4 separate regions of the Mus musculus genome follow, and all the other regions are reported to be linked to region 4. Evidence: microRNA targets listed by miRTarBase, many of them from high-throughput screens and not tested one by one. Region 4 holds a microRNA gene; each other region holds the end of a gene's coding sequence.

Region 1 (7,121 bases), not on the chromosome of region 4:
TTACCCTAGTGGCAAGTAGATATCATGTAATAAGGTTGGCTATTCGGGGCTGGACAGGTGGCTCAACAGTTAAGAGAACCGAAGACCCTGATTCAGTACCCAGAACCCATATGGAGGCTTAAGACCATCTGTTGCTCCAATTCCAGAGGACTCTTCTGGCCTCAAGTGCTGCACACATGTGGTCACATACATACATGCAGACAAAGCACTCAATCACATAAAATAAAAACAAATATTTATGATAGAAAGAACAGAATAACATTATTCCTTTCAGAAACTAAAAACAAACAAACAAAAACAAAAAAAAAATCCCCACTCATATAAACAGGAGAAGTCTTGACAAACCCCACCCTGCAGAGCGATGCTCTGTAAAATAGACATCACTTCCACTCACAACTGTCAAGGTTTTGAAAAAACAAGACCATTTAGAGAGAGTCACAGCTGAAAGAAACACAAAGAGAGGAAACAACAGGAGGTCGTGTGGTTACAGGATGGGAAGGGCAGAGAAGGCAAGAGGTGAAGGATGATGATGGAGTGGAACACAGACTCGATGGGTCAATTTTAGTTATTATTTGGGAAAATTGCTTCCCAGACACATAGAACACATGAGGGCATTTACTGCCTCATCATTTTGCTATAAAGCTGAAAATATTCAAAAGTTTGGTGAAACTGTTAATGAACACTTAGCCACTTGTATTCATCTTTCTATTCATAGTTTCATGATAGAATCGACAAAGTCACACTAATATTGAAGGGATTATTTTCGAATCATGATTTATGACATTGCTTTCAGCTCTGTTGCCCACTGGCATACTTGGCATACTGGTAACTAACTTGATTCTATAGTATTCCCACCCACAGGGATGGTCATTTTATTGCCTATGTCTCCATCTTTGAGTGTGTATTTCTGTATGTGTGTGTGTGGTGTGTGTGGATGTTTCGATGTGTCTGTGTGTATGTGTGCTTGTGCATGTGTCTGTGGGCGGCATAACTGTATGTCTGTGTCTGTGTGTATATGTGTCTCTGTATGCATGTGTGTGTGTGTGTGTGTGTGTGTATGGTGTTTGTCCATACCTATGCACATTTTAAAGTTTCAAGTATGTTTAAAAAAAAATAAGCAAAGAAAGTAGAAGGCCCTGGGAAAGGCAGTGAGGAACAAATGAGAAGAAGATATCATGAGACACTGGTATGAAAATGTCATGATGAACCCTCTTTGTGTGCTAACCTAAACTTTCCAAGGAAACACGAGGAGAGAATACAGTGAAATGACACCAACTACAGACCTTCCAAAAAATGTTATTGTTACTAGGCTGAAGAACTCCGGTCAATTATTATATGCAACATTACTGTTCCCATGGACACCCCATAGTCAATATTTTAAGACAAAGAAACAGATTCAGATTCAGAAAGGTTACGTGACTTTCCCTACCACCTCTGGATAGAAATACAACTCGAAATCAGCTGTCATTTCAAAAGGAAATGTGCCCAAATCTTAGACAGTTTGTTTAATCATCGGTTTAAAGCTCACATATTTCTAACTGTTTAAAAAGCTGAAAATGCTGTGATAAAGGCACGAATCAATGGAAAACTTTGCAACAGAAGACATACGATATAAGACATGAGGAGGGGACTGAATTTCAGATTTCATGCACGACATTAAAATAGTACATGTGGCTATCATCACGAATACTTTAGGTCATGGCTTTTTCTCAACTTAGAGCTTTATGTCATGAGAATCAGAGTCCACAACCCCATTTGCCCAACGAAGGCTACACTCCATCTCCCTGTTTTCTACAGAATGATGGTCTGGTATAGTCTCTTCAATCAGTGGGAAAGAAAACATGTCCCTTATGGCTGCTTAGGACTTTATTTGTAAAAGAAATATTTTTTAACACCCACAGAAATCAAAGCCAGTGCTCCTCCATGCACTGTGTGCACTGCAAAGATGTTAAGACGATATTATAATCTTGCAGACATGTTCTGAAGGAAGGTTTGGTAGGTTTTAGTGGTAAATATTTGCAATTGTGGCAAGTGGAGAATTGCTAAGATTATTACACATGGTATGCTCCTTTCTAGGGACAGCATTTTATGATCATCAGAAATTTAAGAACAGAAAAGAGTACTCAAACAGACTTAAAAATAGATACTTTGGAGATTGGTCATTAACTGCCAATCTAAATAGATAGGTAACCCAATCTGTTGACCGTATTTCCTGTTTCAAAATAATATGTCAATATATAAAAGCTGAAAGTATTCAAAAATTCATGTTATGTCGGGTTCTAGGTGTATCTTCTACCTGTTTAAAAACAAATTGATGGTTCTTCAAAAAGTTCATTTTTCTATGCTTTATTTTCATTCCTTCCACTTAAAAACCTTCACCAAAGCACCTGAAGTTTTTTATTTGTTGCAAGTGTAGTTTCCACAATTACAATATGACATTTTTCTGAGACTATTAAAAAAATTCTAGAATAAAAGAATGAACTTAAATTAAGATTCAAGTATTTTAAATTAGCATAATGGGAAGAGATGTACATTTGTTTTCAACAGATAAGCCTTTATCTATTTCTATAGTCCTTTAACACTTAACTATCAAATAAATATAGCACATTCTGTATACTAGGAGACATTGAAGGGCACTAATAAATGTTCTAGGCAGTGACACACTGTTAGAACTGGTCATATATAAATATTGTAAGACTGTTTTAAAGGCCATATTGTAATTTTTACTTTTACATTTATAACTTCAGTATCAAAATCCTGTTTTGTTAACATTCATATGCCCTTTTCATGCCATCAGAGCATCGGTGCTAACTTTGGATGATGTCATAATAAGTCAGAAAGAGAAGAGTCACCCCTTCAGCATTAGCATGTCTATGTGTAAGATCCACCTATGAAGACATCTGCCTTTGAGTCACCGCTGTATACATCACCTACACAATCTCCTTTGCTTTCCACAATAGATATGCCTATAGACAGGTACTATAGAAAGTGCGTTATCCTCTTGTGTGTGCATTAACAGATTCTGACAATATGCAAAGTTATCTTGGCAATCGTAAATATAAGGTGCTTCATTTAAAGTGCTAGGGTCTCCCCAGGGAGCGATTCACCCACTAGGAATTAAATCAAACTTGACTATATCAAGTGTTGTGCTCTTGAAATGGTGGCAGACACCAGTTGTGGGCTTTTGTTTGTTTATTATAGCTCTGTGACTTAAACAGAAGAAACCACACCATATTTTAAAGACTGGCATAGTCACAAGTCCACAGACACACTCTTCAAAACTTGAAACATTCTCAAGTGAACTAAGAAGCCATCCCCCTGAAATATGAATTTAGCATAGAACTGCTCACATAGCAATGGCTAATGGCAGGGACTGTGCAAATCAGCTTTGGAACCTCCTTGTACACAGGTTCCAAAGACACAGCAACTTTGAAATCAAACACTGCAAATGCCTAGGTTAGAGATGAGGACTCTCTCAAGGAGCCTTATCTCTTCCATTTGGTAAAATATTAAATGCATTGTCACACAGACAGCTCGCCCAATAGTCCAGAGCGTATTGTAAAGATCGCCTGTGACAGTCAGTCACTGGCATCCATGGAACAGGGATATAATAAAGTCTACATCGAAAACAATCATGCATGCAGGGTGTGGTAATATATTACATTTTTCCTGGTCATGTGCACCAACTCATTGTGCCCCAAACACAGAACGAGGATGATGGTACACTATACATGTGTATACATCCTATTAGCATAATCAACACTAATCAAGGAAAGAATCAAATCATTCAGAACGGTGGGACTTCACAATAGAAGCCATGATGCTTTTACGTTTTCTTGACTCTTTAGGAAAAAATAGGATTATATTTTTGTAAACATCTTCATAACTATCTTTTTTTCTCAACAGATTACCAAAACTATTCAAATAGTAAACATCTAGGTGACATAAGCAAAGCGTATCTTAAACACACTAACACTTTCAGGAAAAAAAAAAATCCACAGGCATTTTTTAAAAGATGAATATTATAAATATCTTGCATTTAAACTACATTGTCATAAATAATGTATTTAAAAGTGCTGAGCATGGTAGGATAGTCAGCGGCGCCAGTGTAAACACAACGTTTTGTTTTTCCACTCTGCAAATTGTTTTTTTAAAATCCCATTTTGTCAAACACTGCAACAGTTAAAATATTTGCATAGGGAATATGTAATAGCCCTTTGAATCATAGCTCCTGAATTCTATATAAATTAGAAAATCATATTCACTTAAAAAACAATTCTTGAAATGTTTTAAATTTATGGAAAAAGAAACATGATGCCAACCTTTCAAGTAAAATAAAGTTAAAAAGAAAACTCCAAACTTGTGCTTTAAAAAAATATGTTTAATAAATTAAAAATATGAGAGGTAGTTAAAAATGACAAATAAAACCTATAATTTTAATATCATCCTTAATATAAGGCCTGTATTCTCAGTGGATATAAATCTTTTTAAATCTTTCATTTTTAAAGGTTACTCAACATATACTCATTGAGTTTAAGATTAAAAAAATAGGCTCCAGGGGATTTTGATATTGAAAGGTAAGACCTTGATATAAATATGACATTGATTGTAATTTTGGTTTTGTGCACAAGACGATACTGTTCAGAAGGTCATAAATACATGCTGTGGTCAGGGGAGTATTTCATGTAAAGAGTTAATGTAATTATAAAAAAATAATATTGGCAGCTAGAAGGTTTGAGCACTGTACTGCCTTTTAATTATGGATGAGGGTTAAGAGTTTGTTTTTAACAATGTTAAAATAAGTCTTTCTTGAGAGACTATGTGAAAACAGTTAAGGTCTGACATTGAAGGTTTTCTTCTTTGTAATTCTTTATAAAGTGTTACTTAGGAAAAACTTAAGCTTTTCACTGGATTATATGTTCAAGGTGAATACGCCACAAGTCAGATGCAATTCCTCACTATGCTTTTGACAGTGCTACATGTAGGCATTCCTTTACTAGTTCTTTTCCCTTTATATTCCCAAACTGGATTATCGAACTTATTATTGTTTACCTGCTGACATTCAGAGGTTTGCATCACTCTTTTAGAACTGAGGAGCCATTCTTTAATAACTCAATTATAGTACTGGACATTTCATATATACATAGACTCTTTTCTTCTTTCAGACCTAAAAACAGTATCACTCTTGGAATTTTCAATGAGACAGGATATCTGCAGATTGTTTTGTGCTTATTAAAATTTTTCTTATCATAAAGTTTTGTCTTCTCTCTCTTTCTTTTTCTTCTTTCCTTCTTTCTTTCTTTTCCTTTCTTTCCTTTTTTTCTCTTCTTTTCTTTCTTTCTTTCTTTCTTTCTTTCTTTCTTTCTTTCTTTCTTTCTTATATAGTAAACTCTTCTGTAACAAAAATGCCAGAATTTGGGCAGTGAACAACCAGAGGGCTCACACAGTAAGATCCTTTAACAGCTTCTATTTTTTTTAAACATGTACAGAAAAATTGGCTTCAGAGACGGTATACTAAACACAGTATGTAGCATGGTTAAATATCACTGTTACATGTTTAAAATAGCCTTTGTGTGTATTGGATTATGCTTTTAAAAAATGCAAACCACGGCCAATTTGTTGGCAATTGTTTCTAAGAGACCATATTGCACAAAAGTCCTTAAATACAGATACAAGGTATGCTACTGATTTAATAGCACAAGTAAAGGGCAGACGAAGCAGTTTTACTTTGCACATGCGGCCTCTAGAGATGCACTAGGGGATTGTTCAGAGGACTAGGAACACAATTTGCTTGCAAGTAGAGCAAGTGTTGAATCAAACAAACTTAATTTGGCAATTCATTGTCTCATATAGGCTTTTTTTGTTGTTGTTGCCCCAAACAGAATCATGGATAACCTTGATAAAAATGGAGACAAGAGACCTTCCTCATTGTATTTCCCCAGCAGTCAACCTGTAGTTTTTCAGGAACTCAATTTCTGGTGTTATTTAATTACTTTTATTTCCCATCCCAGCCCTCTGAAATGGATTTTTTTTTTTTTTTGGCCTGTCAACTGAAAATTAGGATTCAGAAGTACAGCTGGTGGTACTTTCCACAAAAGCTTTATAGATCTGTGAGTTCAAGAATCTTGGGAAAGAATCTCTGTGCATTAGGGTGTAGATCTGAAGCTGGGCGTCTTCATACATGTGTGGGCTGGGGTCCAGCAGACTCCTGTTGATCACCTCTCTAACTCGAGAATCCAGGCTGACCTAAAAGGAACAGAAGCAGATGTGCCCATGTGGTTTTGTCAAATAAAAGGTATTGGTTAAGTAATCATGACATCTCAGAGAGATTTCATAGGTTCAATCTCACACTCACGACACTCACACCCATAACACTGGAGATGGTCCTTCCAAAGGCTAAATCATGCTTACTGATTCCCCCTTCCCCGTCTAATGCTGAATTAAACAATGGGGAGAAAAAAGAAAAAGAAAGAAACTAGAAATTTGGTTCACAGATATCTTCGCTCCTTTATGTTGATCTTCTCAACATATTATAGAGTGCCAGAGAAGAATCAGGGGCTGGAGAGATGGCTCAGCAGTTAAGAGCACCAATTGCTCTTCCAGAGGTCCTGAGTTCAATTTCCAGCAACCATATAGTGAGAAGGGCTAGATTTATCCAGAGATGAAGGTCAGCAATTTATTTCCTCAGTATGACCCAACCAACTTAAGCTAAGAAAAACTTATCCATCTTTTAACTGAACTATATATTCTTCTTTGTTGGGAATTCTCCTTTTAAAAAGATGTTTTGGCTTCTGGTTTTCATCTGCACCCAGGAGCGGGCCCTTTTCTACAGTCCTCTGCACTCCAATCCCACCAAGAGAAAGCTTGCCCTCCAAGAGTGCTGACACACCAAAGCTAAGAGGTAAGACCACTACTACTGCCCTAATACCTGGCCCAAGTGTGACCTGCCTGGGGCCCAGTGGATCAAGAAGCCACAGTGCAGCTGGGGACACCATCATTCCAGTATCCTTCTCTGCCTGGAAATTGACCCGGTGTTACAGCCCTCAGCACCCTAATCCCACACAGAGAAAGCTTGACCCTCAGGACTGCTGACACAACCAGGCTCACAGGATCACAAGAGG
Region 2 (7,121 bases), not on the chromosome of region 4:
TCATGGTTTTGGTGTTACAAAATGATGTCCCGTAACTTGCCATAAGTAAGGTTTCCTGTCCCTTATTTTAAGCAAACTGGATAGCTCTTTGAATATGCAGCTAGATGACTGGTGGGAGACCATAATTAACTCAGCCAGTGGGTGCATGTTAAATATATACAAAGCTCTTGTGGGCTCCTCCCATCTGAGTATGCATAAAGTTAAGAATTATAGAGTTTAGACCAGCAACATAGCTTGTCAGTCCCTAGAATGATCTGAGTGTGCTCTGCAGAGCAGTGTCGCTCCTACGCTGTTAATGTTCCATAATGAAGAAAGTTTGAATATTTATATGTAAAATTGCCATTTGTAGCAGTTGGGAGTTTTTAGTTTCCATTGTATTTCATCAGGGCTCTATCTTAAAAAATACATATATTTGTATGTATGTGCCTTCATTTATGTGCATGCATACCTTCCACAGCTCATGTGTGGAGGACAACCCATGGGAGGCAGTTCTCTTTCCACCATGTGGGGGGATCTTCATGGTCGTCAGGATTCAAAGCAAGAGCCTTTAGCCACTGAGCTGGCTTGCCAGTCCTGGTGTTTTGTTTTCTTAAGTAGCAATCCAAGCTGGACTGGGAGGGATGGATATTGTTTTCTTCCTTTAGAAGGTTAGAGAGCCACCAACCTTAGAAATTAAATGTCGTTCATTTGAACAAGCTTTATGACTGCAGGCCAGTTGGTCCTTTCCAGGATACAAAGATAATGGTTGTCTACCCTTATCCCCAATTTTGCTCCTAGGTACTACTGGGCCTTCGTGATACCAGCAATTCCATTGTGGCAATTACTCTCCGTAGCCTGGCAGTGCTGGTGTCTTTACTTGGACCAGAAGTGGTTGTGGGAGGAGAACGAACCAAGATCTTTAAGCGCACCGCTCCAAGCTTCACCAAAACTAGTGACCTTTCCCCTGAAGGTAAGACTAAAAATTATTTTATTAGGTTTTTTAGTATTATAGAATACAGGTTCATGTTGAAGTTAATAGACAGAAAGCATGAGAAAAAGTTGAATTTCTCTTTTCAAACTCATAGTGGGTACAGAGTAACCTTTAATGGCTTAAGTGAGAATCCTTTTTTGCAAACCCATGAGACAGATAACTGTTTACATACGATTATTTTAATGATGCTATGTACAAATTTATTATTTTCATGTACTATATATTAAAGATGTGTTCCCACGTCATTGCATAAACGCTACCTCACTTTTCTACCTGCCTCATATTTCACTGAATCCAATTCAGTGAGTTAGTGATGGCTGCTGTTTCTGCTGCTGGATTTTAGTCAGTATGTACTAGTATTGTTAGAATACTTACACATGCATCTTTATATGTGTGGTCCCACTCCCATAGCAGTCTCAGAAGCAGACTTTGTAGGTTAGAGGATATATTTGAATTTTAGTAGGGACTAAAGACTTGTTTTTTTAACACTAGATGCTTAAGTTACTTTGTTAGACTACTTGGATAAAAGATATTTTTGAGTACTTCAGGAAATCGTTCTTTGGTTTGTTTTGTATTAACAAAATTAGCCTTTTTGCTACTTTGTATGACCTTGAATAGGACCATGATTTCTTTACAAAATCCTGGGTCTCTAATGCAGTTCCTTGGATTGGAGTGCTAGACACTGAGCGCTGAGGGTGAAGGAGAGAGACAGGTGCTCTAGAGAGCTGAAGCCTTAGAGTGACACTTCACTCCCCTTAGCCTAGCTTTAAAGTAGGGGAAATATTCAGCTGTAATTAGAAATCTTTCTGACTGACATCTAATCTTAAGTGTAAGTTTCCTGGTAATTGTTAAGCCTGCTTTCCTCACTCACTGTCAAATACCACAACAGAAAAGTTATTTTCAGTGTATAGTTCTGTGGTGCTAAGTCATTATTTTGGGCTTGTACTCTTACTAGCCTTTTATTCTTAAAAGGAAATTAGAATCATGGTCTTACATTGCTACCAGAACAATTTTAAGGACTGAAATTTTATCTATGCATTGCCTCATAGTTCTGTCCCATCACCAAGTGGCAACAGAACCTGTCTTTAACCTCAGGAGACAGGAAACCCATTTAATAATGTTTTTTTCACCAAATATTTAATGATGTTCTTTTATCTGTGCTACATGCACCATTTCCCCTGACTGTTGCTCACCAATCATGTCCAAGGTGTAAGCACACCCCTCTCCCTTCAGGTTCTCCCATGCATGTTGTCTGCAGCCAGCAGAGTCGGGTCTCAAAAGTCTTGGAGGACCCCTCGTCTAACGTATTCCCTAAATGGTTGTCTGGCAACGTGCCCAGCAGCAGCAGGAAGCGCATACAGGAAGAATGTTACAGCTCTCTCTCACAGACAGGTAAGAACCTCAGCTGTGTCCTACTGCTCTGAGCTGTTCCTGAGAATGGTAAGTACACTTTGGACTAGCTGTCTTGTCTGACCTCTCCAAACAGTTGTTATGCATCTAATCCTCCCACATTGTACATTAACAGTACTTGAATTCATTTTTGTATCAGATGCTTTGGTATTCTGATACCTTCTGCATCATAATATACCAAAAGTGAAGAGTTCTATAAGATGTTAATAAAGACACGTAGCCAAAAATGTTCACTAGGATAGGAAACTGGAGTAAACCTAGATCCCTCAATACCTGATGACATTTGAGAAAATCTGTTTTAAACTTATTTGTGGGCCAGACAGATTGATGGTTCAGCAGTTCGTTAAAAGAACAAATTACTCTTGCAGGGGACACAAGTTTGGTCCCCAGCACTGGCCTCTAACTAACTCCAGCTCTAGGGCATCCTGTCCTCTGACGTCTGTGGGCACTTCACCCACATGCACGTGTACACACACAGTTAAAGATGAGTCTCGGAACAGTGAAATGGGCTGGACAGATGGCTCAGGAGGTAAAAGCTCTTGTGGCGAAAGGCTAGCAACCCAAGTTCAATGAAAAAGTAGAACCAACTGCACTCTGTCCTTTACCTATACACTATCTGGCATGTATGCACCCAGATCCCCTCCTTGCCAACCCCAGTAAATAAATAAAAAACAAACAAACAAAAAACTTACTTGAGCACACATTTCTAGGTGTAATTACTACCAAAGGATAAGACTGATTCTGTATTTATCTGTATTTGAAAGACTTATGCCAACAGGTATTTGGACATTTAGTCAATGATCTAAAAAGATCAGTTAATTATGACATGGTATGCCTTTGAGTTAAGTGCCATGTGGATTTGGAGAATTTATTTGGCATCTTTTTTTTTAAAAGATTTATTTATTACTTATTATATGTAAGTACACTGTAGCTGTCTTCAGACACTCCAGAAGAGGGCGTCAGATCTCATTATGGATGGTTGTGAGCCACCATGTGGTTGCTGGGATTTGAACTCCGGACCTTCGGAAGAGCAGTCGGGTGCTCTTACCTGCTGAGCCATCTCACCAGCCCCTATTTGGCATCTTTATGTTCTACTGCCTAACTTTTGCTAGTGTTCATGGATATTTCCAATTAGACCTACTTATTGCTTGCTTTAAGATTTCATGAGACTAATTCTCGCATATACCCATAGGTGATCAGTTTTCTCACACCATTAAATTCCCTATGAATGGACTCTCAGATGTGAAAAACACTTCAGAGGACAATGGAAGCTTCCCTGCAGGTTCTAATAAGCCCGAGGAGTGGCCTGACTGGAGCGAGCCTGAGGAGCCTGAGCAGCAGCCTGCCAGTATTCACAGATGGCCCCGAGAACCCTGTGATGTAGCAGAGTCCCAGCACACAAACCTGACCGCAGAGGAGGTGACCTGGGATGATGGTGAGGCTAGCTTTGGCACTGAAATAAACTCAACAGCTACAGCCTCTGCTCCTGTGCCTGTTACCTCAGGGGGACAGTCAACCTCTGCAGCTTTGGTTCCTCTCACTGAAGAGTCAAAGCCTTTGCAATCCAGTCCTTCCTCAAAGACCAGTCATAGACAGCATGAGGAAGTCAAACCACCCCAAGTGTCACAAGAAAGACCCCTGAAGGCTCCGTCAGGACTTGGTTTGGGAGAAGAGTTTACCATTCAAGTAAAAAAGAAGCCAGTACAAGACCCGGAGTTGGACTGGTTTGCAGATATGATCCCAGAAATTAAGCCTTCAGGTACTTTTCTTATTCTGCCTGAACTAAGGACAGAAGTGATGGTCCCTGACAAGGATAACGTCTCATCACTGATGCAGTTTTCCTCAAAGTTTGCTGCAACAGAAATGACCGAGGTGAGTTCTTTCTTTGTAATAAGCGTGCTACTGTCAGGGTTTCTCTCAGAAGTCCTAGCTAGCAATAAACAAGCATTTTTATCAACGAAAGAACAGAGTGCACAGCTGACTAAAAATGTTCAAAGTAAACCCAGAAATAATACAACCAGTTCCTAGAAAATTATTTCAGAGTGCTACAAAAAGGAACTAGTCCTTCAGACATGCCCAACCTGTTAACATGACACAATGCTATCATCTACAGTGTTCATGGTTCAGAATTTTAAAGAAATCAAACTACCAAGATGGCTCTATGGTTAACAATACGGGCTATTCTGGAGGCCTGGGTTTGATTGCTGGCTTTCTCAGGATGCGTCACATGAAATGATCTGTTAACTCGAGTTCCAGGAGATTCAATCCCTCCGACCTGTACAGGCACCAGACACAGTGGGGCATAGATATATGCATGCACATCAATGTTTTTTAAAAATACAAACCCATTTTATATCTTCTGTTTTGTGCCTTGTGTATAACTGTCCTTGGCCACATCTGGGTCCACCTGCTAAATGAGTAACTCCTCGATGTGGGGAAAGATGTCACTGTGTTGCACACTTACTTTCCAATGGGTGTGGTTTTTAACATCAGAACTAATCTTGCTTTTAACTTTTGGTAACAGCTTTATCGTTTCTTATCATAAGGCATTCTCTCTGGGTCATTTTTAAATGCTTGGCTTTTCAGATGTGTACACAATTTGCCGCAGACAGCTAGTGTCAGTGTGTTCTGTTGCAGGGAGAGGCAGAAGGCTGGGAAGGAGAAGAGCTAGCCTGGGAAGATAACAACTGGTGACGATAATGAAAAGCTTCAGGAAGAATTCTCAAAGAATTAATACCTCAAAGCAAGCTGCATGGATGCAAAACCCCAAAGCAGCTTGTGTTCCCCACACCAGGAGCTCTTTTTTGCAGTCTGTGCCAAGTCAAGCAGAGACCAACCTCAGGTTGCTGACTAAGTCCTGGTGGCAAAAGGCTTCGGTGCCAGAGTCCAGGAGAAAGTGCTGTGTGCACTTGACTGAGGCCAGTTTCCATACAAAGCAAACAGCTAAAGAAGTGCTTTTTTCCAGGACAATTCTGGAAGAAATAAAAAATTCAAGCTGGTAAGCTTAATTTTGTGCCATTTCTTTAAAAGAGTAAATTCTATTATGAAATAACTTAGTGGAAAAAGAAAACAAACAAACCTAGCTGTAAATTATAACTTCAGACTGCTAAGGCTCCTTAGGCAGTTTGTCTGTTTACAGTCTGTCCCTCTCCTTCGGACCTGGGCAGTTACTGTTTCACCTGTATTACACTGGACCAAAGCTCTCAATGAGAAATACCCACCCTCATCTCCCATCTTGTTCTTTATGTCAAATAAAGATTATTTTCACATTTACAAAAGCTCTTTTATGTGCTATGAAAATATACAAACATAATTTACATTCACAATTTCATTTACAAAACACCCAGGCAGGCATCTGAAGAGTCAGCCCAGTTCTGTCGATACACAGGCCATTCATATTTTACCCTGTAAGCACACAGCGTTTTAGCTTCTCGATCCTTCCTTGCAGCGCCTCCAGTTCTGGCAGCAGCCATGCTGGAGCAAGAGAGTGTTTGAGTAAAAACTCAGTTGTCTCCAAAGCCCTTGCTGCAGCTTTAAATACTGATCTGTATTCTTCTTCAAAGGGCAACACCCGACGGGCTCTCTTTGTGTGAGGCTGGAAAATAAGGAAATCATGAAACAAGTAATACATAATACTCATTCTAAAAATAATATAAGAGAAACTAGTCATAGGATCACGAAGAAGGCAGCCTTCCCATTTGTATTAACAATAACCTAAATGTGCTACTACTCTCCACGTCCTAACTTGTATGTGGCAGACAAGAAGTCGCACTGTGCAACGGTTCCCAATGATAAATGCTGTCTTGTCCAACAACTATCCACGAGTAGTCTTTAAAAACATCATTAAGGAAATAAAACATGAATTTCCTAATAAGTTTGTAAATGCTGAGAGCCATAATACCTTTCAACATACTTTTGGAGCCAATTAAGGAAAACTAAGGCTCCAGACATCTTGCATAGAAGGGGAAGAGGAACTGAGGTGAAACTAAAACATATCTTAACAACTAGTTTTTCAAAGGGAAGTCACAGTTTAAATTCATAGGGCTTTCGAACACAACTGACTTAAATTGAACTTTATATATATTCAGGCCTACAGCTACATCCAAGAAAACAAGTTACTATTGCACTATAAACCTAGAACATTGTTTTCCTTAGGACCCTATTCTATCACCTGTGTTCAAAACACAATTTTGAATGTATGTAGTCGTGTCAAATTTCTGCCAATTAATAGGTACATGTGATATTTGAGAAAAGTGATTATTATTGATGAGATGAATTGAACAAACTGACATCTAAGTGTCAGAAAATGCATTTATGTCATCATTGGTACAATATGCAATTACCAATAATAAAGAGTATATTTGGTACAATGGTTACAATTATTTCTTGTGTTCTTGTCTGTGTTGGTAACATTTCAGGGAAAGTGTATGGTTTTTGGTTTTGGTTTTTGATGTACAACTACCATAAAGTAAGAATTTTACCTGTCTACATTTTACTTGAAATTCAACATGAGGACAAGAATCAAACTAGTTCATCAGTAATGAGGGCAGATTCCCTTGTTTGACCAGTACATGCTTAAAAGCAGCCCATACCTGAAACGCTGACGTCTTCACTTCTTCTACAGTCACCTTAGCAGCAGGTTCCCAGAAAGTGCCTTTCTCCTGCTTCACATTGTCCACTGTGGCAACCTCAGCTTCATCTACAGATTCTGTCTGCCAAAGAGCACCAAAGAACACATTAC
Region 3 (7,121 bases), not on the chromosome of region 4:
GGTATGTGTGTGCATCTATGTATATGTGCATCAGAATGCAGGAGCCTACAAAGGCCAGAGGGGTGAGATCTCTGGATTTATGGGATGGCTGTGAAGCAGCAGACAGGTGGTGTGAACCAGACTTGGGTCCTCTGGGAAGCAGCATCTCTCTCAAACCACTGACTCAAGCTCCCGTCTGCCCTCCCACCCTTAGGATATCGTTGTTGATCATCTTCCTTTTTCTGCTTCAATGAATTGGGGGCATAATCATGTTTCCCTGGGGTCGTTTCAGGAGAGATTTAGAAAGCCTTTCCTGAGAACCCCTTGAAAGGCTCCCTTGGCAGGAACAGTGTTGTTAGCAGCTAATGTGTTTCCCCTTGATGCCCCACTCCAGCTGCATAGACTCATGGTTTGAAGTGAACAGATCTTGTCCAGAGCACCCTGCTGACTGACCCTGCTGGGCCTGCTTGCCGACTCCTCTCAAAGGTGAGCCCATACTTGGCGGGAGACTCTGGGCTAAGAGTCAAGTTTCTGGGAGCTGGGGGAGAGGAGCTGGCCTGCCTGATACACACCCCACCAAGGAGAAAGCAGAAGCAGAAAGACAGAAGCCATCTCCTCAGAGAGCAGTCCCCAGGAAGTAGGGGGATGTTCCTGGGAGTTGGGGGAGCATGAAAGAGCGATAGTAACCTAGTCATGAGAACTCCATGCAAAGATAGAACCAGGCTCCTTCCCCTCAGGAGAGGCAGAAGGTCCCCTGCAGGGTGCATGGGCTGGAGCAGAGGCGCCCCCAGCCAGGCTCTACAGCAGCCTCACCTCCCTCACCTCTCAGAGACTCGGTTCTGAAAGGGAAGAATCACTAAGTAGTGGCCTGTGGAACAGACATTGTCCACTGCAAAGACATGGCCTGAGGTCTTTCCACTCCTGGTTCTTCCACCGGCCTGAGAGGTCCAGGCCACACTCAGTCCTTGTGTCCCAGGCACAGTGTCACAGCAGCAGGCTACTCCCTCCCACACACGCACTTCTGGTGCTGTGTAACCATTGGATCTGACCTTCATTTCTTCCCCAGGGTACCTTGTTTAACTGCCCCTATCCCGCCCCCACCCTGCCTGTGCCTTTGAGGACTGTGTTGGGTGTTCTCTCTCTTTTGTTTTGTTTAGTTTGTTTTTGTCCCATCCAACTGAAAACCATCAGCCCCTTCCCACTTGATCCCACATCCAAAGGCTTGGGGATCCCTTTTCTTCTCTCTCTTCTTTGTTGTTTTTTCTTTTGTTAGGTTTATTTTATTTATTCCAAGTAAATGCCCAGAACAGCTGCTGGTGTCAGGCAAATCAGGGACATTGGCTCTTTCTACCCTCACCTCAAAACCTGATGCCAAGCGAGGGAGAGTGAGGCAGAGGGACTGGATCCCAGCTCCAGAGTGCAGGTCCAGAATGCCGCCGCCGGCATGATGTTTGGCTTCCAATGGGCCTGCCTGGACTGAACCAGATGCCCCAGCCAACCAGCCTGGTCTCAGGGGGACACAAGCTGCTGCCACCGTGCGATGGAGCGGCAACTCTCAGCAAGATGAAGCGGGACTGACTTCTTCCGACCCACACAGGGACAGCCAGCCCCTGTTCCTGGGAGGAGGCTCCTCGGACACTGGACAGAGCTGAGCTTGGGACACCAGAGAGAACAGGGCACCCTTCTGCACTGACTTCCAGAAAATGGTCCTCCCTGAGGACACCCAGTGGATGAGAGAAGAATGAATTGACCTCTATCCTTCCCCTCACCCTCGACCCAGGAGGGAAAGGGCATTTTCTTTTTCACCTTTGAAAGGCGTTGTGGGTCTGTCTTTAAAAAGTGTTTACAAACAACAAAAAATTCTATAAAAAAGTCTTGTGTCGACTGGTGTTTTCCCTTGTGATGTTTACAGCCTGCTGTTTGCTGCCCAGCTAAAAACCACTCATGACAGAAGCAAGCATAGCCATGTCCTGACCCTAGCGCTCTGATGGCAGGTGGGCAGGCGGGCACACGTTAGTCCCTCTGCCCAGCGCCCCAGTTGGCTCTCTGCATCACTAACCTTTCTACCTTTGGGGATTCGTTTTTTTTTTGTTTTCTTGTTCTTCTGTCCCATTTTTCTGGCTTGGTTTTGCACTTTTCTCCCCTTAAATTTCCTTGATTTCCTTGCCAAAAAAGAGGAAGATGAAGAGCCCATCGTGGACACTTGCCCTCCCCCAGCCCCGAGTCTCCCCTGCCTTTCCTCCTGGATCTGATCCCATCAGAGGATTTAATAATCACAAATACACTGAAAAAAAAAATGCCTGGACATTTTTCCAAGGCCCCTGTGATTTTTTTTTCCCCCTGAGGAAATTTAGACTTAGCTAAAGGACTGTGTGCTGCAACCCCCATTTTCAGGCGCACGGAAATATTTTAGCCATTCACACATGACATCAGCCCATGCAGGATAGGTTTCTGTATTTATATATTAAAATCCAAAAAAAAAAAATTACAAAAATGTTTTAAAACTGTTCAAAGCTTAGGAGAAAAGCTTATCAGTCAAGGTGTTTTGATATGGTATTAAAATAGTGTGTAACAAAAGATGCACCGTGTGATTTATTTTAATGAAGTGTTGTTACACAATCAAGGTGGAAGGCAAATGCCAGTTCCCTCTGTCCACCTCTCAGCCCACACCCCCTCCCTCAGCACCTGTAATGGCTTAGCCACTCCTGGGCAGAGGCTCTACATAGTGGCTCGGCTGTGTCTTTGAAGTTTATAAATTCTTAAGCATCATGGAGTGATTGTCAGTCTTCTGTCATCTCTGGTTGTGATAGGATGCTACTGGAATGATATTCAGGGGCAAAGCTCTTACAGCCACCAGAGGATACAGGCACCTGGAGATGCCAGCCCAGTCCGTTTGCTTTTCAGAGCCTCTGCCCCCCTCCCTACCCTCTGCTTGCCTGTTGCTCCGTGCAGAGCCAAGTGCTGACTCATGGGCATGCTTCTCTGAGGCCCCGGAAAAGGCCCTGCTCTGGGCTTCTTCCAGCTCACAGTCCTTGAACCAGAACCAGCCACTCAGCCTCATACAAGTTAGCAAATTGCAGGCTGGGCAGGAAACCTCGGGGCAGAGCAGCAGTGCATACCTGCCTGTCTTCTAGCCAGGCTCCAGGAGCTGCATTTCAGGGCCTCCTGCAGAGCCAGCTAAGGGAAGCTCTGGAGGGAGATGGCACCACCTCTCTACCATGACCATTTCCAGACCTGCCCCTTGTACTGCTGTGTCAGGGCCCAGTCCCAGCAGGCCCACAAGTTTGGACTATGCTACCACCCTTGCCCTCAGATGCGTCCTGAAGCAATTGCTCTGTGCAAGGACATGTGTTGGAGGCCAGTGGGCATGTGGGCACCAAGGCAGGGAGGCAAGTTCAGAGAACTAAGAGTGCTTTATTTAGAGCCTGAGTGTCAGACGCCTCAGGACCTGAACTGTAAGCACTGTCAATGGCCAGAAACTGGGCTCTTGTCTGTACTGGGGCACTTTACTTCTTGGTGGAACCGTGAACTCGATCCCTTGCATGTGAAGTGGGGACAGGGTCATGCGGCTCGGTTCAGTTTGTGTCGGGGATCTGCCCCAAAGGCCTGGCACATGCGCAGCAGGCTTCCTTGTAGCTATGTCACTGCAAAGGGCACTGTTCTATTCCCAGCACCTCCAGCTTCTGCCTGGCACCTGTGTCTCCCCGTTCTATATATAATCCTACCAGCAGAGCTGGCGGGCCAGGGCCCAGCCCGCAAAGAGATCTCCTTGTCTGACCCCCGGGCCTGGAGACAGGCTTTGTGTGCCCACCTTGGCTGTGTGAGCTCGGCTGCCCTGGCAGTGCTGTGGCTGAGTCCCGTGGTTGAGTTGGTTGGGGCGGCGCTGAGCCCCACACCGGGTGCTATTCTAGGCTCTCTAGGCTGGTGCTCATCCCATCCCCAGTGACTTCCGCCCCCACCTGGCACACCAAAGCCCTCTGTTGGCTGTCATGTCCTCTGAATTTGGACCCAGATTGCCAGTGCCTGGTGTGAGGGGTGGGTGGGACTGGGCTTGTCTGGGCTTCCCAAGGTGGCACTTGTGTGTGTCACCTTTTATCCAGACAGCCCTCCAGAATCCTGTGTTGTTCGTTCCTACTCTGCCTTTCTGAGAAGGAAGAAAATCCGGAAGAGCCAAGGGATGGGTTCTTCCCCTTAGCTCTGAGGAGCCCAGAAAGCCTTCTGAGAGCTCCAGGAGCCCCTTTTGAAAACCACCCATCTAAGCCATTTAATAGTATTGAAACTCATAGGAGAATGTCCTCCTTAGGAGACAGTGGCTGAAATATATAGTTGAATGATTTCAAGAAATGTATAATCTAATCCCATATGGTCTCCCCTCCCCCAAAATATACAAAGCAAATAAGGCAAAAATGTCCATTGTTGAATCTTCAACGACTGATATTTCAGTGAATATAGTGTATTTGTTCTTTCAACTTTTTCTGTATGTTTGGGATTTTCTTTAATAAAAGAAATTGTGGGGAAATGGCTGTGTATTGAGTTTCCCATTATTGGAGGGTGTATGTAGGAGCCCTGCCCAGTGGAACTCAACTTGGGAGGACTTGAGGTGAACAGACTGTCTGGGGGTGAGGGGGGTTCACTGGCGATATTTCTCAATGGTGAATTCGGGACTGGTGTTTGGGTTTCTTCATCCTGAAGTAGTTTGGGAGCAAGCCAAAGAATCATGAGACAGACCTGAAGTTGGACTAAGAAAGTGTCAGGGTGGGGGGCAGGAGGCTGCTTCTTCCTTTTTTTTTTCCAACCCAAGTACCTAGCAGTAGAGAAGATGGTACTACAGTTGACTGGGACCCACAAGGGTAAAATGCCTAGAGACTGGCCACCCTAAAAGTGTCTGCTAGGTTTCTGGTGTTGCGCGCCCTCTCGTGGACTTCTGGGGAACAACTGCAAGTACCTCCAGACCAGGGCTCTGACCAGGGAGTCTCAAAACTGCCAGGCCCCAAAGTAGGCAAGACCCTGACTTTGAAAGTAAGCGCTGGTGGATAGAGCTTTATACCATGGATAGGGATGGGACACAGTAGGTTAGTTCATCTGTATTTCTATTGTCCACCATAACAGCTTGAAGAAGGTGCTTCAGTTTCCTGGTGGGGAAGCTGTCAGGTGACCTCCACCACTGGCAGGTCTCCTGCCTCAGGTATGCAAAAGCAGAGGGGCTGGGACTGACTTTCTTCCAAAACTTGAACTCCATCCCCTCCCCAGGCTACAGTTAGTCTGGGGATGGGCCCAAAACAAATGCTTTTTAGCCCAAGGTCAAGAGACCTAGAGGGGGAAAGGATGCAGCTGCAAACGGGGCTCACGTGACCAAAGAGCCGGCCCAACAGTGCCGGATGGAACGGTCCTCCCTCCCTCTGCAAGGAAAGGAACGCTCCTGTCATCATATATACAGGGTGAGTCATGATGCAGGGCACCAGCAGAGGAGAGGCCCCCACAGACGGATCTGGGATCTGATCTTAGCTTGGAGTAGATCCACACCACCTCTGCCAGCCAGGAAGACACCCCACTGGGAAACACCCTGGGTTTTCTACCGGAGTAAAAGGCTCCTAAGAACAAGGGTAGCAGCTTTCTGTGAGAGAGTCCAGCTCCCTCACCTTCATCTTGAGCCCCAGCTACAGAGGCTACCTGGCAGGCATAGATAGATAGATAGATAGATAGATAGATAGATAGATAGCATCAGCCCTTCCATTTCGTGCTCGATCGTTGGCATGAAGGAAAAGACCAGAACAGGGGCGGGCTTTGTGTTCTGGAGATTGCCAGCCAAGGGTTACACATTCCTCATAGCACTTTGCCTGGGTTCATGAGACCACGGGGATCCAGTGTGTTTTTGAGCTGCCGCATGGTCTCCACGCCCACGGGGCCCACTTCCTCTTGGAGCAGCTGTCGCTTGCCCAGTCCGATGCCATGTTCTCCAGTGCATGTCCCACCGAGTGCCAGGGCCCGCCTAGGAAGCCAATTGAAGGAACCCCCAGCACTCCTCCCTCAGCCTCCGCCCTCCCCAGCCCCCAACCCTCCCCGGTACAGTCCTCACCTGCCCAGATTTTCTGCAAAGGCCTTGACCCTCCTCTGCTCCTCTGCATCATCTGGGTCGACCAGGAGGATGCAGTGAAAGTTGCCATCACCCACATGCCCAACGATGGCTCCTAGGGGCCCAGAGAACAGTAAGTGTCGCCTCTAGTCTCCTTGCCCAGGCCTTGGCTAACCCCAGCGCCTCCCAGACGGCAGTGAAGTAGAACAAAACCTGTGAGTTTTGAAGCTTTAATCTCCTCCTTGGTCTCTACCAAGATCTCTGGCAGCCGGGAGATGGGTACACACACGTCCGTGGAATAGGCCTGAATCGGAAGGCAAGCCTGTGTGATTCCCCCCATCACCCACTGCCTACCCAAAGTTAAGGGATCACTGTGGTCAAGCCTAGGACCAATCCAAGGGGTCTTGATGTCGCGGAGTGACACATCTGACCCACTGGTCTTCTTCGCTAGCCCAGGTCTTCACTACTCCCCTGGATCTAAGCCTGGACCCCATGCAGGGTCCCAGCAGCCCCACCCTTCTGAACTTCTGCATAATCTGCCCAGCCGTCCCATCTAGCTAGACTGCCTCCTTCCTCTCCATTTCTTCCCCAGGAGGCCCTTCCAATGTTTAGAATTCCTAAGTGCTCAACACTATACCTGAGGCTGACTTGTGAACTCCTAAGTTTGGAGCAAATTAACAGTTCTTTCTCTCTAGACTCTGGAATAGCTGGGTGCAGTGGTCTATAGCCCCTTGTCCTCACACCCACTCAGCCAGCCCTTGGTGGGCCTCAGTCTTCTCTATGTGAGTGGGTAGATCCCACCTCCAGCCCCAGCTTCAGCTCACCTTACTTCCTGGACTCAGGGCCAAGGCTGCATACCAAGCATTGTGCCGCGCTGCCCAAAGTTCATTGCGCTTTTCGGCCTCCTTGGCCCAGGAGAAGTGAGAGCCACCATTATCCTGAGTGATTGCCTCTGTAGTAGGCACAGAAAGGCTGATGGTTAGACCCCTACACTGGGACAGCCTCAGACCTCACAGCGCCGTGTCCCCGGCGCACCTGTGCGCTGCAGCTGTTCCGCCAGTGTCTGCTG
Region 4 (7,121 bases):
AAGAATTTCTAACTGCTTAATTAAAATTCTAACAAAAAAAGCTTTTCAAAGCTTAGGTAGCAGAAGTAGCACATTTTATTTACATGCATTTAAAAATAAAATGTCCTCAACAACAACAAACAGTATTTATCAATGATGGAGAAAGGTAATGAGAACCAGAGAGGTGAACCAGGAGAGATGAAGCGCTGGCTCACCTTTTGGAGATACTTTGCTCTCTCTTCAGATTCCTGAATCCTTTGGGCTTTAGCAAAGATAATTGCATCCTCTAGAGAAAATAAAACCAAATTTAATCTGACACAACTTTGTCATAATTCTTACAGTTTTGACATGAAATTGGATATGGGAGAATAGAGTAGGAAGGGACACAAATACATACTGTCTTGACATTATAATGATTGGTAAATAACTGAAGACTGCATTAATTATTCATGATGTCAGGAACCCTCCCATACCTTTACATGATGAGTAAATCATAAGTGGAGATAAGAAACAGCCTCTAAAGAGAAAGTGCCTGTGGGACCAGGAATGCTGGGGAGAAAGTGCCTGTGGGGTCAGGGATGCTGGAGAGAAAGTGCCTGTGGGACCTGGGATGCTGGAGAAAAAGTGCCTGTGGGTTCAGGGATGCTGGAGAGAAAGTGCCTGTGGGGTCAGGGATGCTGGGGAGAAAGTGCCTGTGGGACCAGGGATGCTGGAGAGAAAGTGCCTGTGGGATCAGGGATGCTGGAGAGAAAGTGCCTGTGGGACCAGGGATGCTGGAGAAAAAGTGCCTGTGGGATCAGGGATGCTGGGGAGAAAGTGCCTGTGGGGTCAGGGATGCTGGAGAGAAAGTGCCTGTGGGGTCAGGGATGCTGGGGAGAAAGTGTCTGTGGGACCAGGGATGCTGGGGAGAAAGTCCCTGAGGGGTCAGGGATGCTGGAGAGAAAGTGCCTGTGGGACCAGGGATGCTGGGGAGAAAGTGCCTGTGGGACCAGGGATGCTGGAGAGAAAGTGCCTGTGGGGTCAGGGATGCTGGGGAGAAAGTGCCTGTGGGACCAGGGATGCTGGAGAGAAAGTGCCTGTGGGGTCAGGGATGCTGGGGAGAAAGTGCCTGTAGAGTCAGAAAGTTATCTTCTGGGTGAGTATGTGAGCCCTGAAGCAAGGTGTGGGATATGCAGCTTAGTTATATCACAGTGTAAATGTATACTTCTAGGAATTCTAAGATAATCTGGGGAGTCTACATATAAAAAGGCATTAAAACTTGATACTTACTGTCCTGATCAAAGGGAAAGGGCTGGACAGAACTTTTCTCTAAGAAATACAAATGAAGAGAAAGTTATTGGAAAAGCTGACATGAACAGTATTTTAATTTCATATACCTATTAATATTGAATAAGAACACTTTATACATCCTTGGCCCGAAGGCTTGTCAGTCAGGAAACAGGGTTCCTAAATTAGACTCTGCCAACAACTTTTTCTTGGGCTTTTAAATTTGAATTCAATTTTATGTAAATGCTTTCCTAATCTAAGCACCATTTCCTTAGATTAACCCATCCTCTTTGCCAAATAAAAGCCATCATTTAAGGGACTCTTAGAATTTTTTTTTTTTTTTAAGATTTTCATTTTATTTATGTGAGTACACTGTAGCTGTCTTCAGACACACCAGAAGAGGGCATCAGGTCCCATTACAGACGGTTGTGAGCCACCATGTGGTTGCTGGGAATTGAACTCAGGACCTCTGGAAAGCAGTCAGTGCTCTTAACTGCTGAGCCATTTCTCCAGCTCTAGAATGAATTTATATGTAACAATGAGATCCTTTACAGTGGAGAATTGCAGCAGTTTTAGAATTGTTTGTGTATTTGCATATACCTATTACTGCCTGTTTCTGCTTGTTTGTACTTCTCAATTGACTGACAATTAGACCAGGCAGTTTCCCCTTCCAGGAGGTAGCCTTGCTACTCACCTCTCAGAACGACTTTAGAGTTCCGCGCCACCGGTAGCCTCTGACTGCTGCCTCGGGTCAGCACGAGCTGAGATTCGGTAGTGGGGTACATGGACGCCCCGAGCCAAAACTGCTTAGCCAAATTGGCATCCTGCTCAGAGCAGCCGGTGAACACCAGTAATCCAGGGGAGCAGATTTCCTGGGATTCCTTCCTGCCGCTAGGACAGCCTCTGGGCCCCGTTTCCATGGTGACTCAGGACGCTTTCCTTAGCTCTGGCGTCCCGCCCCTACCGGAGAACCGTCCTGTTGGTAACTGCCACCACCGGAATGCCTGTGTTTCTTCTTCCGTAGATCTGGGGTTCCTCGAGGGCTTGTGGCCCATCAGCAGCTGGCTTCTGTCGAGGTCACAATTTTCGGGGCCAGTCAAGCCTTAAGAGTAAAAGCCTCAACTTTGTGATGTGTACAGTCCTGGACTGTCTCTTAGATCCTCAGCCAGCGTCTCCTCCTCCCCCAGATAGCCCAATAATGTGAGCTTTAAAGAGCGCCTTCCTCTTTTGGACAAGATTGCCAAGGCTTCGCACTCTTACCTCTGGGGAAATTCTCAGGTTTGCATTGATACATCTGCATAAAGCGCTAATCTAGAACTGGGCCGAGAAGTACCGGTGGATACAGCTTGTGTGATTTAAAACCTCTCAAATCTTTTATTACAGATATTAGGAAACCAGCTGGTTTTAAATCGTGTTCACTAATTATTCCCACGAAAAGTTGCCTAGAACGCAACTGTTAATACCTTAAAAAATATACCTGGTTAAGTGGGCTGAGTTCCCTTGCCCCATGGAAAATTATGAAAACATTTAACGTTCCCTTCCAGGTCACAATCATGTGTGAGACGTTTCCCTGGAGATTTTGTCTGTATAGCAACTAACCATTTAATGACTTTACGGGGTTGACAGGAGCTGAAATGGAGATCCTAAAGCCAGTTTTTGGAAAGGAAATGAACACGATTGCTGAGATTTTCGTGGCGCTTTATTTTTTAGAGTGTTATTAATATGTCAGGCAAAGTCCAAAGATTTATAATCACAAGTCAATATAATGACCAAATCAGCTAAGGGATAATTTCTATTTTTCCAATATATCTAAAAATCACAAAAAATGTACCCCACACAAATTGATACATTGTATACTTAGCAGCTAAGGGCTAGCGGTTCCCCCCCCCCCCCCAAACCACTAATAGTATGGTAAGAATATTTCCCTATGGCTCTGTCCTCACCAAAATGACGATTCACAGGAGGCTCAGTCGGAGGAATTTCAGTCTTTTTACCTGGCTGTGTGGTTAGTGATTGGTACTATTAGCAATCAGCTAACTACACTGCCTAGTAACTAGACTCAGAAAAAAGCATGCAGTCTTTAGCTGGTGCTCTCAGACTTTGGTGTGACCAGAGCAAATCGTCAGCCAAGCTGTGGTTGACTCTAGTCGCTGCCTTGGTGATAGCTTTCTCAGAAGTGGAAATCAGGCAGTGAATCACAGCAGCAGCAGGAACTGTTCTGGGGGGGGGGGGGGGGGGGCTCTTCCTGGCCTTTTTTTTTTTTTTTTTTTTTATGTTAAGGCCGGTGTATACCGATTCTCTTTACACATCACTGAACCGTTTTTGCTCTGGCTCTTACACACAGGTAGCCGAACGGTCCCTAAAGGAGGCCGCCGGTCTCCGAGGGTTACTTGCACTTAGACCTCGTGCTCCCGGCCCTTTGCTGACGCATCCTGGCTCCGGCCTCGGCTTTCTGCGGAGTCAGTGGGGCTGCAGCGCTGGCTTCTCCTCCCGCGGGCGGCGGGTGATGCTGTGCCTTGTTTTGATGGCAGTGGAGTTAGTGATTGTCAGCACCGCACTACAATCAGCTAATTACACTGCCTACAAACCGAGCACCGGGCGCCCGCCACTGCAGCTCCCGAGGGTCGGGCCCCTCGCCCCCTTTCGCCACGGTCGACAGGCGAGGGCGGCGGAGCGAGAGGTGCCTCAGGCTCCCGAGGCCCCTCCACACCCAGCAGGGCCGCGCGCGACCCCAGGTGAACCCCCAGGCGCTGAGGCCCCCTGTCCCCGCCGTCCCCCCCGAGACCCCCGACTCAGCCCGGACCCCAGGGCATCCGGCCCGAGTCCTTCTTCCCGCAAGCCGGGTCTGACCCGCCTCCAACAACTTCTTCACGGCTTCCAGACCCAAGTCTAGAGCCGGTTCTGTCCAGCCCGCGCGCCCCGCAGCTCCTACTGGCCGAGTGACCGTGGCTCAGCGACCAACCGCCCTTGGAACCCCGAGGCCGAGGGGGCGGGGCGAGTGGGGGAGGGGTGGCAGAAGCTACCAGAAGGGGCAATGGGAGGGCTCCTGCAGAGCCTCCTGGGAAGGGGCCGGGGAGATGGAGAGACAGATTCTTGAGAAGTTTATCTTCACAGTGTAGTTACTGCTACATCGAAGAAAGAAGCGCAGAGACCTACATCCATCTCTCCTTCCCAATATATTGCCCAAGAAGCCCCAGGCCTCCTCACTGTTCATATGCCCATTCTCAGAAACCGCTTCCCAGGCGTCTCATCTGGAGCCTTCCTGCCTGAGCAGGCCTGGGCACTCATACCTGCAGGATTGCCCTTGCCTGTACCCAAGTTCTTTCTTAGGACTACCTCTTACAGGGCCATACAGTGAAGTGTGGGCCACTCTTCTGGTCAAACATTGAACCAACACCCTTGTTGGTAGGTCAAAGTTGTGGCCCTTATAAGATCAAAGACACAGTTTTGATGATCTCCCCGTGAGCCTTGAGGATATCTAGTCTCACTTTGGGCTCCTGTTTTATTTAAATGTTACAAATCCAGCACCTAACAGGCGTTTGTCTTACTACCCATCAGACAGTCTAGGTGGTAACAAAATGTGAACACATTATTTATTACTCCAGACAGTATAAAGTTGCTAAACTGATAGATTTTCCTAATAGAAAAAAACAGGTATGGGTGGGGGTGGGAGGTGTGCCAACAAGAGCTGACAGACACCATCATGGAGGAGGTGAGAGTTCAGGTAGATCCTTGAAGCAAGGGTAGATTTGGACATTAAGGATGAGGTCTGTAGAAGCCCGAGAAGCCATATCTTCTGTCAGTTACATTCCCCTTGTTTTTGCTATTTTATATCTGATAACGGGGTGCGTGTTTGTGTATATTGGGAATAGGAGGCGCTGAGGGGACAGCATTTCTGCGCCATCTTCACTAATATTTCTTTCCTTTAGTCTTTCCTCTCCTTTCCTTTAATTAATTGAGCCCAGAGAGGATATACAGTATTCTCTGATTGCAAACTTTGTGGAATTCAGTAGGAAGTAGCCGTCCCAGACTGTGGTCTTCCTGTATGCTGTATGACACCCATTTGTATTGATCCAACAGTCTTGCAGTCTACAAAGGGACATTTCTTAGCTATACACTGATACCTGTAAGCCCAGCAAATGGTCTTGTAGATGCCACTAATTACATGAATATATGCCAATCATCAGGAACATTCAACACAAATTCCAAGTGGAAACCATTAAAACCCAAGAACTTCCCAAGAATAAACTTGTGTATATTTTAACATTATCTTTGAAAGTAAAAGACAATGTTTTTTTCCTTCAGAGTCATTGTTTTATGAAGGCTTAAGTGAAAGGAAAATGAAGTAGAAAATGCCAGATTATTATAAAATTAACTTATGAAAGACATTTGTAAATAACTATCTTGTATTCAGTCTTCTTGTATTTGAGAAAAGTATAATGTATCCTACAAAAGGTCATTTAAACGTTCAAATATAAATAAAAGTAGTAGAAATAGCCTCCATCCCATAAACACTATGAAGAGTTACAAGTTTTAGGAGGACATCATTAAAAAATCATTTATTTTGCATTTTGCTCAATTTCACTCCATGTGTCATGCTTCCACCCAGCTTAGGGATTTTCTCTATTAGTAGCATCTTAAATATCTTACCTGAGTTTTATTGCTTCCATCCAAAGCTATCATTGCATAAACTGTCTTGAAATTTAGACTAAATTTTTTTCTTCAATGATAAAAAGTAAAATGATGAAAAAAAAATGCGTGTGCCCTAGTTCTGTTAGAAAGCAACAATAGAAAAGAATGTCTGTTCTTAGGGTTGCTGTTGATCCTGCCCACAGTTACTAGAGAAACTCCAAGGATCTTATTGCATCTGCTGGTCATGCCTAGGCATGTCTAGAGACCAGGGAGACTCATGTTTTAATCTAAGTAAGAATGCCTGTGGTGTGGTTAAAATGCCCAAGCAGACCATTACATTTGGTTAGATAGATCCAGGAAGGCACCTTGAGGAGGAGCTGTTTACTGCTTTAATTTCTGGGTTTTTGTTGATCTGGGAGATGGGGTAGGACCTTTGAGGAGATGGGTTGATAGTATTGACCGGAAGGAAACCATGAAAAGTATCAAAAACAAGAACTTCCTGCGTGAATCTGACAAATTTATCTTGACTTAATTTATGACTCCTGTAAAAGGGCCATCGAGAGATGACTTCCTCCTGTCAGTACACACAGCACATCGTCTGTACACGTCCTCTTTGTTTTTAGATAGGGACTCAATTAGCTCAGGCTGGCCTTGAGCTCTTGTTCTTCTTGATACAACCTCCCAGTTGCAGGCTATTTCTGCAGCATTTGAAGGTTCTTGTTAGGGAGGAAAGAATGAAGGACACTAATTAGAAAGCAATGATCTTTAGCCACTTCTTTTAAAACATTTCAAAAATGCATACTTTCCTAGGAAATAAAACCATGCATTTTTTTATGCAGACTATCAAATGTCAGATGACCATATTAATATTCACGATAGTATGCTTAGGAACTAGTTTATAAGTTGAAGCAAGGCTGAGTTGAAGTCAATTTAGCCCTTGAATAATTACAAATCAATGAATCTGTTTAATCATAGTGGGTTGTCATCTGAGCTAGAATGAACTGCCAGCAGCTCTATACCTCTGGTTTCAACTCAATGAACTCTCATTAGGAAAAGTTCTCAATTAGCTTCTTGTTTCCATTTCTCAATTAACCAATAGTTTTGCTTTCAGTATCAAATGTTAATTTACTTTTTTAGGAACAATCTAACAAAAATAGCTTCCTAGTTAAGGTTGATGGAGCTCTTACTCCAGAAACAATTCTTGTCTATTTCTCATCTCTAGGGAACAACAGTCTCCAGAGATG

The links. Region 4 holds the annotated microRNA mmu-miR-34b-5p (AGGCAGUGUAAUUAGCUGAUUGU, at 3,805-3,827, opposite strand). A microRNA usually pairs through its seed, bases 2 to 8, with sites in the 3' UTR of a target mRNA and lowers its output. Matches are read on the target gene's strand: a 7mer-m8 pairs with bases 2 to 8, a 7mer-A1 pairs with bases 2 to 7 and ends in A, and an 8mer does both.
Region 1: miRTarBase lists Rgs17 as a target of mmu-miR-34b-5p. Seed matches in the 3' UTR shown: 7mer-m8 at 5,419-5,425, 7mer-m8 at 2,652-2,658 and 7mer-m8 at 1,145-1,151.
Region 2: miRTarBase lists BC055324 as a target of mmu-miR-34b-5p. The part of its 3' UTR that is shown has no 7-base or 8-base seed match.
Region 3: the mRNA of Znrf1 is a reported target of mmu-miR-34b-5p. The part of its 3' UTR that is shown has no 7-base or 8-base seed match.

The regions. Positions count from the first base shown.
Region 1 is chr10:5,826,896-5,834,016 of GRCm38, forward strand. It overlaps Rgs17 (regulator of G-protein signaling 17), which reads right to left. Exons shown (of 5, transcript NM_019958.4): 5 at 1-6,246. The coding sequence ends at 6,058. Among named protein-coding and RNA genes, the nearest start is that of Mtrf1l, 6.5 kb to the left of the region's middle.
Region 2 is chr1:163,948,365-163,955,485 of GRCm38, forward strand. BC055324 (cDNA sequence BC055324) reads right to left here. Exons shown (of 24, transcript NM_201364.2): 23 at 6,973-7,092; 24 at 5,642-5,975. The coding sequence ends at 5,781. Scyl3 (SCY1-like 3 (S. cerevisiae)) reads left to right here. Exons shown (of 14, transcript NM_028776.5): 11 at 778-949; 12 at 2,204-2,362; 13 at 3,573-4,252; 14 at 5,018-6,762. The coding sequence ends at 5,074. Among named protein-coding and RNA genes, the nearest start is that of Scyl3, 22 kb to the left of the region's middle.
Region 3 is chr8:111,621,223-111,628,343 of GRCm38, forward strand. It overlaps Znrf1 (zinc and ring finger 1), which reads left to right. Exons shown (of 4, transcript NM_133206.4): 4 at 374-4,498. The coding sequence ends at 431. It overlaps Ldhd (lactate dehydrogenase D), which reads right to left. Exons shown (of 11, transcript NM_027570.4): 7 at 7,088-7,121; 8 at 6,877-7,004; 9 at 6,266-6,356; 10 at 6,056-6,167; 11 at 4,389-5,968. The coding sequence ends at 5,803. Among named protein-coding and RNA genes, the nearest start is that of Ldhd, 5.6 kb to the right of the region's middle.
Region 4 is chr9:51,099,806-51,106,926 of GRCm38, forward strand. It overlaps Mir34b (microRNA 34b), which reads right to left and starts at 3,840; the gene lies at 3,757-3,840. Hoatz (HOATZ cilia and flagella associated protein) reads right to left here and starts at 2,273. Exons shown (of 6, transcript NM_177702.4): 1 at 1,940-2,273; 2 at 1,249-1,287; 3 at 195-265. The coding sequence starts at 2,165. It overlaps Mir34c (microRNA 34c), which reads right to left and starts at 3,305; the gene lies at 3,229-3,305. It also overlaps a transcript of Btg4 not described here.